Drosophila melanogaster: one gene and its partner. The protein of the gene in region 2 interacts with the protein of the main gene of each other region in a pairwise test. Each region holds a gene or a part of one and is shown on either strand. Other genes may lie near its edges. The genes, in order: CG14989 and CG1421.

The links.
Region 1: the proteins of CG1421 (region 2) and CG14989 interact in a two-hybrid assay, tested with the Drosophila melanogaster proteins (one large-scale study listed by BioGRID).

What each region holds. Positions count from the first base shown.
Region 1 is NT_037436.4:4,085,817-4,093,459, forward strand, and holds CG14989 (uncharacterized protein), read left to right. Parts: upstream 1-1,764; 5' UTR 1,765-1,888; intron 1,889-2,395; exon of another isoform or gene 2,396-2,928; intron 2,929-3,143; 5' UTR 3,144-3,150; coding exon 3,151-3,398; intron 3,399-4,222; coding exon 4,223-4,326; intron 4,327-4,456; coding exon 4,457-4,845; 3' UTR 4,846-6,890; downstream 6,891-7,643. Other genes in the region: CG14990 (uncharacterized protein), read left to right, coding at 7,423-7,500, 7,567-7,643.
Region 2 is NT_033779.5:21,901,090-21,904,498, reverse strand, and holds CG1421 (uncharacterized protein), read right to left. Parts: upstream 1,507-3,409; 5' UTR 1,350-1,506; coding exon 783-1,349; 3' UTR 760-782; downstream 1-759.

The DNA of each region.
Region 1 (7,643 bases), on a different chromosome or scaffold from region 2:
CGCTGACGATCTGCGGAGCTATGAGCAGCAGCATCCGCCTGAGTTGCCTACGAAGCTTTTCGCATCCAAAAAATGGCTGCCCATATACCACTACAAGCGTACCTATGTATATACATACTACTCCTCAATCTCTTGCATAACCTTCAGCGACAACGACAACAACAGTGGGGCTGAGGAAAATGCGGGAAATTCTCCGGGTGACGTCATTGATTTTTCGGAAACCATCTTTGTTAAGGCCATTTTGCGTGGGCGGAGCTTCGGCCATGCGCGCCCCAAAGTATCCAACAGATACACATGAAATATGTGCGCACGCCTGGTGAATGCTAAAGAAATAATAAAACGGGATAAAGGGAAAGGAAAATATAGATTGTGATGGGGCGACCAAATGAAAAGCTAATTAACAAACTAATTTTGCCACTGTTTCTGACATTTACAATGACCCACAACTTTTTATGAGAGTTTCCTGTCGAATGAAACAAAAAAAAATAACCCTATAATTACTTTCATTTCCCGCATATATGTACATATGTGCGCTTAGATATAGAAGCCAAAGCATATAGATTCCTGGTATATAGAACAAAAACGAAATTTGGGTCAAAGCTAGGCCGCCCGCCCACTTGGGCTATGCAAAATAGATATGTATCTCAGAGTGAAATTGCATCATTTCCAATAGAACGCGTTTCGTAGCATACTTTTGAGGGCCAGAGAACATCTATGGCCATGTTATGCAACTTGGGTAAAGAGCCCAGGAGCAGCAGGACCAAAAAGGACGTCCATCAAACTGGAGAAGCTTAAACAACGAGAACCCTAGGAATACTTGCCGCAAAAGAGTTCCACCCACTCCACTTCCATTCTTATCTGACACACGGAGCAGCTGGCGTAGGATGTTACCACACACTTGGCACTTGGCACTTGGTCCTGCTGCTGCTCCAGCTCCTGCTCCCTGGGCAGGATCCAATGCGTCAGCGTATTTTCGTTGCGAGGGCTCTGGCACTTGAAAAGTGTCTTTCGATGTAACTGATTGCAACTTAAGAAGGCCATTACAGTGGCAATAACTCCCTTGCTAGTCCCTGTGATCCATCTTTTTTATTGAATGCCTGCAATATTGGCAAAATGAAGTCGACACTTGTTCAACATGACTTTCAAAACATTCTCATAGGGCGTAGTGCATTACTTTGTAGCACTAGCTAGAAGAAATCCAACGGCAGTTGCAGAAAGTCCATAAAGCCGTAATTGCACAACGAAATCGTTACTTTTGATGTGGCAACAACTGTGTGAAAGGACTTTCTTCGCAGTTTTTTAATTGTTAATTGCTCAATTGCTTTCTTGAAACAATAAAAACATTTTAGAAGACCTTAAGTGACAAATATGGCGCCTAATAGATATGAATTTGCACCCTACGCCTTAACATCTGCGTAACCCTTTAACAAAACCCATCCATCACAAGTGTCAGACAAATATTTCTGATACAAAAACAGCTCATGGTATTTAGAACCACTAAACATGGCGAAATAAAGTCGCCTGCTATCTGAAAAGCACTTCAACGGCATGTGCTACCAATAATAATTAGGCACTCGGTCTGCACTTATCGCAGATATATGGCAAACAGACCAGTCTGAAAAGGAGGGGGGGATCGGGTGTATCTGCGATAGTCTATCCTCTGATTCGCACTTGAATCTATGACACCGGCAGATAAAGCCATCAAAAACATTTATTATTAGTAAGTGGGATTTTCGTTTGGGCCGGTTTGGGCTCAGTTGAACAACTGCTACCATTTGTAGCGGACAGCTTTATATAAATCCCGTCGAGTTAAGGATTTAAGCATTTCGAGCGGAGCAGGTGCCACGAACAATCGGATTTAATTGAGTCAAACTTTTGGAAAAGCACAGTGAGTTGTAACAGGAAACGGAAACAGAAACAGAAACAGTAACAGAAACAGCAGCAGACATGGACAAACAAAAGGATTATGGGTTTAAGCCATTTTAAGAGCGATGTTTAAAATACTCTCAAAAATAATGGTTGCAATACAAGCATGTCGCCTTGCAGTCCCTTTTAAAAGTTATATGTACATTTTTAAGGAATATTTTAGTTAAAAGAATAGTCATATTACTAAAAATAACAAAGCTTTGAAGAACTATTTATTTGATTTTAATCAAACTAGAAAGCTGAAAGGGATTTGTAAAATTATCAAAAAATAAAACTATGCAGTCATTAAATATTTAATACTTCATTATAAACATTCCTTATTATTAATGATAGCAGATAAATAAATTGAGATAGATACTTTGCATCAGTAGAAATAGTTAGACAGGATCGATACCCTTTCATAAGAGCACAACTAGCGAATGGAATTGAACAATGAGATGAGCTCTCGACCAGAAAATAGGATGCTCACCTGGCTGTGATTGCACGTAGCGCAAGTAGGCCCTGTAACCCAGATAGGCGAAAATGTTTGGAGTCAAGTGCCACCCACGGATGCGGATGGAGCTGGGAGCTTGGGTCTGCTATTCTCGGGCGGCTAATTCAGACCGGGCGTTTCTGGCCAGGGCGAAGCGTCCTCTTTGGCACTCGACTCTCAACTGCCAGCCAGAGGCATCAGAAGCACAGTGGGCCAGGGAATGCTCCGCACCCCGGGGGCCATGAACATTTTTCGTTGCCCGTGGAAAACAAATGGGAGTTTGGGAATTTCGACTGTTTAGCCTGTCATTACGCTGACAAAATAAGATTCCAGCAGGTTGGTTAGCTGAGGCATTTATGTGAGGTATTTTCGACGAGAATCCCGTTGCAAAAGCGTTGTCAGGATGCCAGAATGCCAGGATGCCAGGTGGGAGTCTCAGTTGCGTTCGAAAGACAGGCGATTGCATAACCCCTTTCGGTTTGGCAAATCAAGCGAATGATATTCGGATAGCAAATGCTCGGGATAACAATGGTGTAAGGATTAGGCCCCGCAGGCAAGTACCCCAAACGCTGCTTTTTGCTGCCTATTTTTGAGAGCGCGATAATTGCATTTCGAGCACAATTGCTCCTATTGTACGGGGCCAAACAGTCTCCATTTTGGCCCAGTCCTCCCTGGAGGATAATACGCCCCAAACCAGCGTGAAAAACCCATCCCCCAGTTCCGTAATCTACCCATCTCTTTTCAGCCCAGCGATGGGAGAGCGTGTTGAAAAGCGACAGAGAAAAATGGGGGGATGTGGATTACAGCTCGTCATACCATTGGTCACAATCCTCATCCTGGCTGCGCAGGCGCAGGCTGTGACGTCATCGCCCGTCCTGAAGGACGACACTTTGGGGGATGCTGCTCCGACGGCAGCGCATTCAGCAGCCAAAATCCTTGAAGACGTCCAAACCATCAGCGCAGTTCAGGATTGGAGTTTGCTGTGTAAAGAGCTCTGCGGGTAAGTTTCGGATAAACAGCAATCGAAAACTCTAGGAATTACTGAAAGTAAGGTGCCTCGGCGCAAAGTGACTCAAGTGTTTATTGTTGGCAAGTGCAGGTTTCCCCCCAACACAAAAAAAAGTGCAAACTAATAATGATAATAATACGACACATTTACCAACTAAAATGTTGGCCTTGAGAAATCATTTGCAAATCGCGTCGGCCTTTCAAGTGGCTTCCATCGAGGTTTTCCCACAATCGCGTGTGTCAGGGAAATATAATCCGCATTCCTGATGATCGGTGGCTATATCAATGATTCGTGACTCGACTTTTGTGGCGTGTGTGCAGTAGTTTGTCAAGTGCCAAATATGTTAAGTATAAATGGCACTCGAAGTCGCCAGAAGTACTGTGCTCACTTAAAAAATTGAATAGGCTTTAAAAAATAAATTCTAAATGTCGGGTCAAAGCTAATCAAAATTATTTCACAATTTTACGATATATAATTTACAAATATTATTAATTAGAACATTTTGGCTTGCGTTTATATTTAAAATATACTCTGCATTATTTTTTAATTTGGTGTTTAATACTATTTAAAAATGTTTTGAAATAAATATATTTTTTACAAAAAAAAAAAACAGTTTATCAAGTCGAGATTTTCCTAGATCATTTGTGCTATTTAAAACTATGTTATCTGTAAACCTAGTTTCAATAACAATTATGCATATATCATGGTTCTTAACTTGGTAATGCGAGTGTCATATACTGTCATCTTAAATCTTTTTTTTTTTTAATTTACTCTGCATTGCAATTTAATCAGCATTTTATGGTTGATCCTTGCAGAGCTGGCCTGGGCGTTGCTTCAACGCCTGATGTGGCCAAAAACACAATCCTGAGACCGGAGACGGATGTGGCCAAGTGCCGGCAACTGTGTGGACTGCCTAGGGGTAAGTGGAAAATAATATATTGAAACTCTATTCAAAATATTATACTTTAATGATTATTATGGTCGAACTTAAGGTTAATTTGCTTTTTGAAAAATAAACATACTAATCAAATGCACTTATTTACTTCCAGCTAAAGCGGGCGACTTGGTCTGCTCGAGCTTTTGTGGTCAGATGGGTCGCTCCCTGCCCGGATGCAGTCCCTGCCAGCAGGAGGTGCGCAGGATGAGGGTGATGAAGGAGCGGAAGCAGGAGGAGGAGAAGCAGGAGGAGGTTCGAAAGGACGAGGAGAAGGCCAGTGGAGTGCTGGGCGATCCAACACACGGTTCCAGAGCCGCGGAGAATGCCGAACGGAGAGGATCGGTCGAGGAAGCAACAGTGTCCGCAGCTACCGTGGCAGCCGCCTCGGAAACGGACACAACCACTCCGGCACCGGACTGGGACGAAGTGTGCAAGGTGCTCTGCAAGACTGGCGATGGCGGGTCTTTGTGCAACTGTGATTTATCGCCGTTCTTCAGCTGAGCGATCCCCACCTTCCTGAGGGGATCGCTCCCGATGGAGGCGCTAAATCACAAAACCATATATATGGATCGAGAATTATCTGATTATCTGATGTTTTGTTGTTCTTCGTTTTTGAACTTCAGTTAGTGCTATTGTTGTCATGAAAAAGTATCTCCCATATATAATCTATATCGGAAAACGTGTTACGAAAGTTTAGTTAAATACTGTAAAGAGATAAAAACAAAAACTATAGAAAAATCAAAAAAAAAATCAAACAATTCAATATAAATAATACATAGAGAAGAATATACGATGAGGAGGAGGAGCAAGCAAACAAAAAAAATTCCCTATGCGAATCAATTAATTTGTAACTAATTTCAATTACAACTAACTATAGAAAAGCTATAGAGTAAGCAAGGGGGGGGACTTTACCCCCCACACTCGAGAAACAGCAGAATCACGCAGGGCTTCCAGTGCGTCGCCTCGGAGGATGAGGATGCCCTCCCAAAAGGCATCCGAAATCCCCGGGACGGACACAACCCGTATTTAGGTGATTGGTCAAGGAATTGGACTGAGGAGACACAAGAAGAGATATATGAAGATGAACAACCAATTAATATCAATGTACACAACATATCGTGCGGTAAACACTACCCAAAATCAAAAAACAAAAAAAAAAACACCCAATCACATTTATTTGGAATACACCTTGGTTCGATGGAATCAGCATATCAATTTACCACGAGGCAAAAACAAGTTGGTATCTAAAGAATTTCCTTTGTTTTGGCTTACAAGTTATTGGCGAATCTAAAGCATTGAGATATTTCAAATCAGCATCAATTAGGAGTGTCGCAATTAGGCCAAAGTGCCAACCAAGAGTTTAGTGTTGGTTACGGCCCTTAAACGCAAAAGCAACATTTATAAAATATATACTTGTACTTACTAACGAATAACACATGTAATTGGTCTATATATATATCCACAAAATGAGTTGCGATTGCAAATCAGAAACTCAGACGGGCTATACTGGATCTACCAGACCCGTATACATCATATATATATATATATGAATATATATATATACATAAAGCTGTAAACCATAGTTACCATAATATCTAGGTGTCATATTGTTCAGCATAAATAATCGCATATGATGTATTGTATGCATATTATCTGTGTGTTTGGAAGACATTTTTTCGCATTGCATTGAAATGGAAGACAACTTAAATCGCATTCTGGAAGACATGCGTTGCGGCAGCGCCAAAAAGATCGGCCAGCTGCCAAATAGTTTGTAAGATATTCTATATAATAATAATAATAATGAGATTTTCGATTCGAGCTCGAAGATATAGTCAATACAAGCACACGTTGTTGTGGCAAACGCGACGCTGTGACTGACAATAATTAACTATAACTTAGCAGGAGAAGAGCAGGCAAGGAAGTTCGCATACTCAGTGTCTATATATCAGTACTATTGCTAATATTAACCATGCACTACTACTAATCAAGGAAAATGGAAAATAATTAATAAATATTGTATTGCACCAAAGTTATAAGGCAATTTTCAGAGCACATTCATTGATAACCTAATGCGGCTTCAGTATGTATATCGATGTGTAGCAAGTTAATCACTCAGTAATTAATATACGAAATGCACTTTACATTTATGTATATGTATATGTGTTAGGCGTTGCGTTTCTGCCATGAATACAGCGACTAGCGAACCGATCACACGGATTATGCCGGAATAATATCCATAATTCAATAATATATATATACATATATATATATATTTATAACCAACAGACACATCATCATCATCAATTACGAATACCGAGTCGAAAACCGTTTCGAACCGATTATGCCGTTTCGCAGTTTCGTTTCTTTAGTTTTATCCAATGGCCAGGCATTATCTTAGTCGGTAATGTCTGGGGCTATGGTTAAAATAACACAGAAAAATAGATTTAAAGGCAATTTCACAACAGATAACCATAACAGCAACTACACAACCAAATAAAGGCAATTATTATCTTATATACGTTAAATGTTGTAAAGCCCCTCTAAACAAAAAAAAAAACAAGAAAGCCTGTGTTTTATTGGGATGGCTAAGGGGCTCAATAAATATGCAATTCAATTTTTTATTTTATTAATTTTATTACATTTTTTACAAATACCCCGAGTTTTCATTTAATTTGAATAACAAGAACTAACGTAACGTACAATTTGAATACACTGCTTTACCACGTAAGCTTGAGGAACCGTTTCACTGCTTCAACCGTGGCAAGCAGTGCATAACCGCTTGAGCTGCTTTAAACAGTATTTCAAATCAGGGCGCGCTGTCTACATTCTTATCTATATGTGTATAACAAAAAAATTGATTGCTTATTTCTTAGGTACCTACATACATATATTAATTATTTCCCATAGGAGTGCATGCGTATATTTTTCGTAGATATTATTCGCTCTCTTTTAGAAAATATATAAAGCTTAGTATGTATACTATCAACAGTGACTGATAAGCATGATTCCCGTCGAATTTTTAAAAGTGTCGCAGCTTCTGACTTTTAGTCGTTTGGAATTTGTGAGCTCAAGCAAACCATGCTCAAGAACTGGACAATAAATACGTTCCTTTTGGTTTCGTTTCTTTGTAGTGCGACTGGGCAAAATGAAGGAGGAGTATATAATATTTTTTGAAATATTTAATCAATATTTTATTCAATTCAATTAAAAAAAAAATTGTAGGCACCTGGAATATTCAACGGAATGTCATTCACGGAAAATCTTCAACCAGACCCAAATCAAGTTTGCGGCATGAGCAA
Region 2 (3,409 bases):
TTTACCATTTGGATCCGATAACTGCGGGGCAAATAAATTACAAATATAATAATTAAGCAGCATTATTTTTGACAAAACAAATGCACACACGAAAATGGTGGCAAATCGGGGCGACTATCCGGTATAGCCGTAGTTCCCACCTCTCGGCGGTAGAGGGCGACGGCGCTACTTTCGACGTGCTGCGCGTTGTTATACTAAAATGCATTTGTGCATAGGAATTAATTACGCATAATGACAATTTGATAAAATTGAAAAATTACATTTTATTTAAATTGATTTATTGTAATTAAAAATTCTATAATGGCTCCCAGGGTCCGAGTTTGCGGTCATCCCAGAAATGTTTTTCTGAACAATGCGAATTTAATTTATCGGCATTGATAAGTGTGTAACATTTACTGGCAAAAACTATTCAAACACAGCAAACACGCCATACGCTAAGACATATACATAAGTATGGATCACAGTGGGAGTAAAGGGAAAAGTCGATCTCATTGATTTCTTTCCTAACCTCCAGCAAAAACAGCAGTCCGCAATCCATTTGAATTACATAGGAGGACAAAAAATCATCTTTTATAAATGTAGCACTCGCATAATTCATATTAATAAATTTTCGACTTGAAAAAGCTTTGAAGACTTCTTACCCACTATGATAATGTTGCTATTTTTGAACGTTTAGCATTAAGATATTAAAATAAAAAAGCAACTACATTGAAGCGATGTCTAAAGAGACAGCTCCCTCAGTTAGTCAAACAAATCCCTGAAAAGAGCTGCAATGTTGGAATTTAATAAAAGTAGAACACATAAGATAGTTTTTCTTTAAGCCACTGGGAAAAACCGACTTTTTTGGTAGTGCCCTTGGACTTATTTTCTCCACGGTTTCCCATCAGCAGTTGATCGGAAATGATCGCGTTTCTTTCATCCGCGGCATCGACAATAGCCATTCCTGTAGTTTCATTGTCAGGGGGATCGCCATTGCCCTCTGAGCATTGCTCCAGAAATTCACTGACGGCATTCTCGGAAACGGGGTTCTCAGCTGTGACTTTTACGCGAATATCCCCGCCATATCCAATTTTTTGGCCATCGTAGCTCAGCGCGATTCGGGCATCCTCCACGCTGAAGTACTTCAGGTACATGCGATTGGTTTTCGTCAAGCTTTTGGCAACAATGCCACCGATATCGAGAAAGAAGCAGTAGACAATGTAAGCCCTGTCCAACTCGTAGTCGCTTACGGATACCCAAAAAGACTGTCTGGGATCTTCGCCATACTTCTTTTTATTATCCTGCAAAATGGTATGGTCTGAATTGTTTCCAACGACTTGATGGAACGCCTTCCGCGACAGACCATCCATTATGGGGTCTTCAAGATATGTTGGTAAGCAATGGTCTTTTTGTTGTCCTGAAAACAAGATCCCTGCGTACTCTGTTTTATCGATTTTCCTGTTAATTTCCTTATTTCTAAATTTATTCTGTCAATCTGACAAATTGATTGCCTATTCTAACAGTCATGTTTAATTTTGACGAAAGATGAAGACAGGCAATGAATGCATTGGTAATGTGATGAACTACAAAAAAGGACAGAAAGAAATCCCGATTTTTACCAGTTTAAGGGATAATAAGTTTAAAATAATCTCTCGCCTATCAGATTACGATCATATAAGATATAAGTGGGAGTGCAAGGGGAAATATCAAAATTAAATTGAATAATCAATAAAAATGACAAAAAACAAGAAATAACGCTATATTCGAGTTTCTCGACTCGTTGCTAAGATAGTGGGATTAGAAGACTAAAAAAAAAGTTAAAAATATCAAAACAATTATCAGGCGTGGCAGTTTCGGGCGGTTGGTAGGCGTAAGAGTGGGCGTGGCAACGCTCTAAAAGAAAATTGCTCATCGTAGGCGTCACTAAAGTCAAAGTTCATACGACCGGCATGGCTGTATCGACGTGGCTATTGATCCCGATAAGGAATATATTTTTTTACGCTACCTGTTACATAATTTTCAACGAATCCCCCCTCCCCCCCCCCCACCATTAAAACGATGATTGTTTTACACAAACCCAATTCAGTTGGGCAAATCCGTTCAGAGCTTTATTTATAAATTGTATTTTCCGATTTCTGAGGAAATATATGATTTAGATTTAGTTTACCTCATGACCCCACCATCCGAGTCACAACAACAGAACAACATCAAACGGCCGGCGGACCCCGAACAGCCGGCTTTGCTTTATTTACGCATAATTTCGTGCAATTTATGGGCTAGGTACTCCACCAAACACATAAATATCTCAGGTCCGGAGCGCAGGGAGGTATCCGAATCAAGGCGAGTTCAAAGCGTTTTTCAGGTCCAGAGTCTATAAAATATTAAAAATTAGCTGATACAAATACATATAAGTTATACTTGGAGGCGCCAATTGCTGTGTGGTGCGTGGAGTGGTTGAGATTGTGATTGCGTGATTGTGGTTTCGGCAGCAGTGGTTGCCACCCACAATGAGCAACAAAAAGGCCGACACGGAAGTGTCTTTCAGCTAGGCCAATTGTGGGCCATTAACGCGATCGGAGATTAAAGGCGGCTGCTTCCGAGGCCAGGTCAAAGGAACTTCAAACGGAGGAACGTTCGAATCAGCCATTGCTGATTGGTTCCCATCATAATTCTAGCAATCGAACGAGTTCCTAATTTGTTTGTTTGTTTGTTTGCCTGTAGTGGCGGCGGCATCCCTTTGAACCGCCGGAGTCTATCGAGCTCAGGTGCGATCTGATGAATCTGCGTACCTTTAGTATGCAGTACTGCTTTCATAATCCTAGATGCCTGCGACCGAATTTCCAAGATGTTAATCATCCGCGAACCGTGAAGCGCAATCTTGAAAACGTTCCAGATCAAAGGCTTATCTCTATCTTGACCTCATAAAATGCAATGAGCTATTCCCTAACGAACTGTGATCTACCTGTAAGCCTAATGATTAAAATCTCTTGCCGCTTGCACTTTCTTTCCTATCTTAATTTGTTTTTTCAAATTTACTGGAATATTAAAGGCAAATAGTCTTTGATATTATAGATATTAAGTGAAAAGTGGGACATAATTTATGCAAAAACTGTCCAATTTAGCTAAACGGCAAACATATGTGTACGTATTTTATTACCTTATTTTTAGATCGACCTAAGCCGTAGTCTCCTCTATAACTAACTTATACATAAAACAAATTAATTTACAATGAATATTATAAATTTGATATAATATTATCCAAGTGCATTTATGGTCTGAAGGGAACTTAACATAATTATTTGTAGCATACAGTCTAGTATATGCTCTAAGGACATAATAGATGTAACCATTAATTACTCAATTCCTTACCATTCATAATTGATTGATGTAAATGATACAGTTCAATATTCCTGTTTCCAAGCTCGATCAT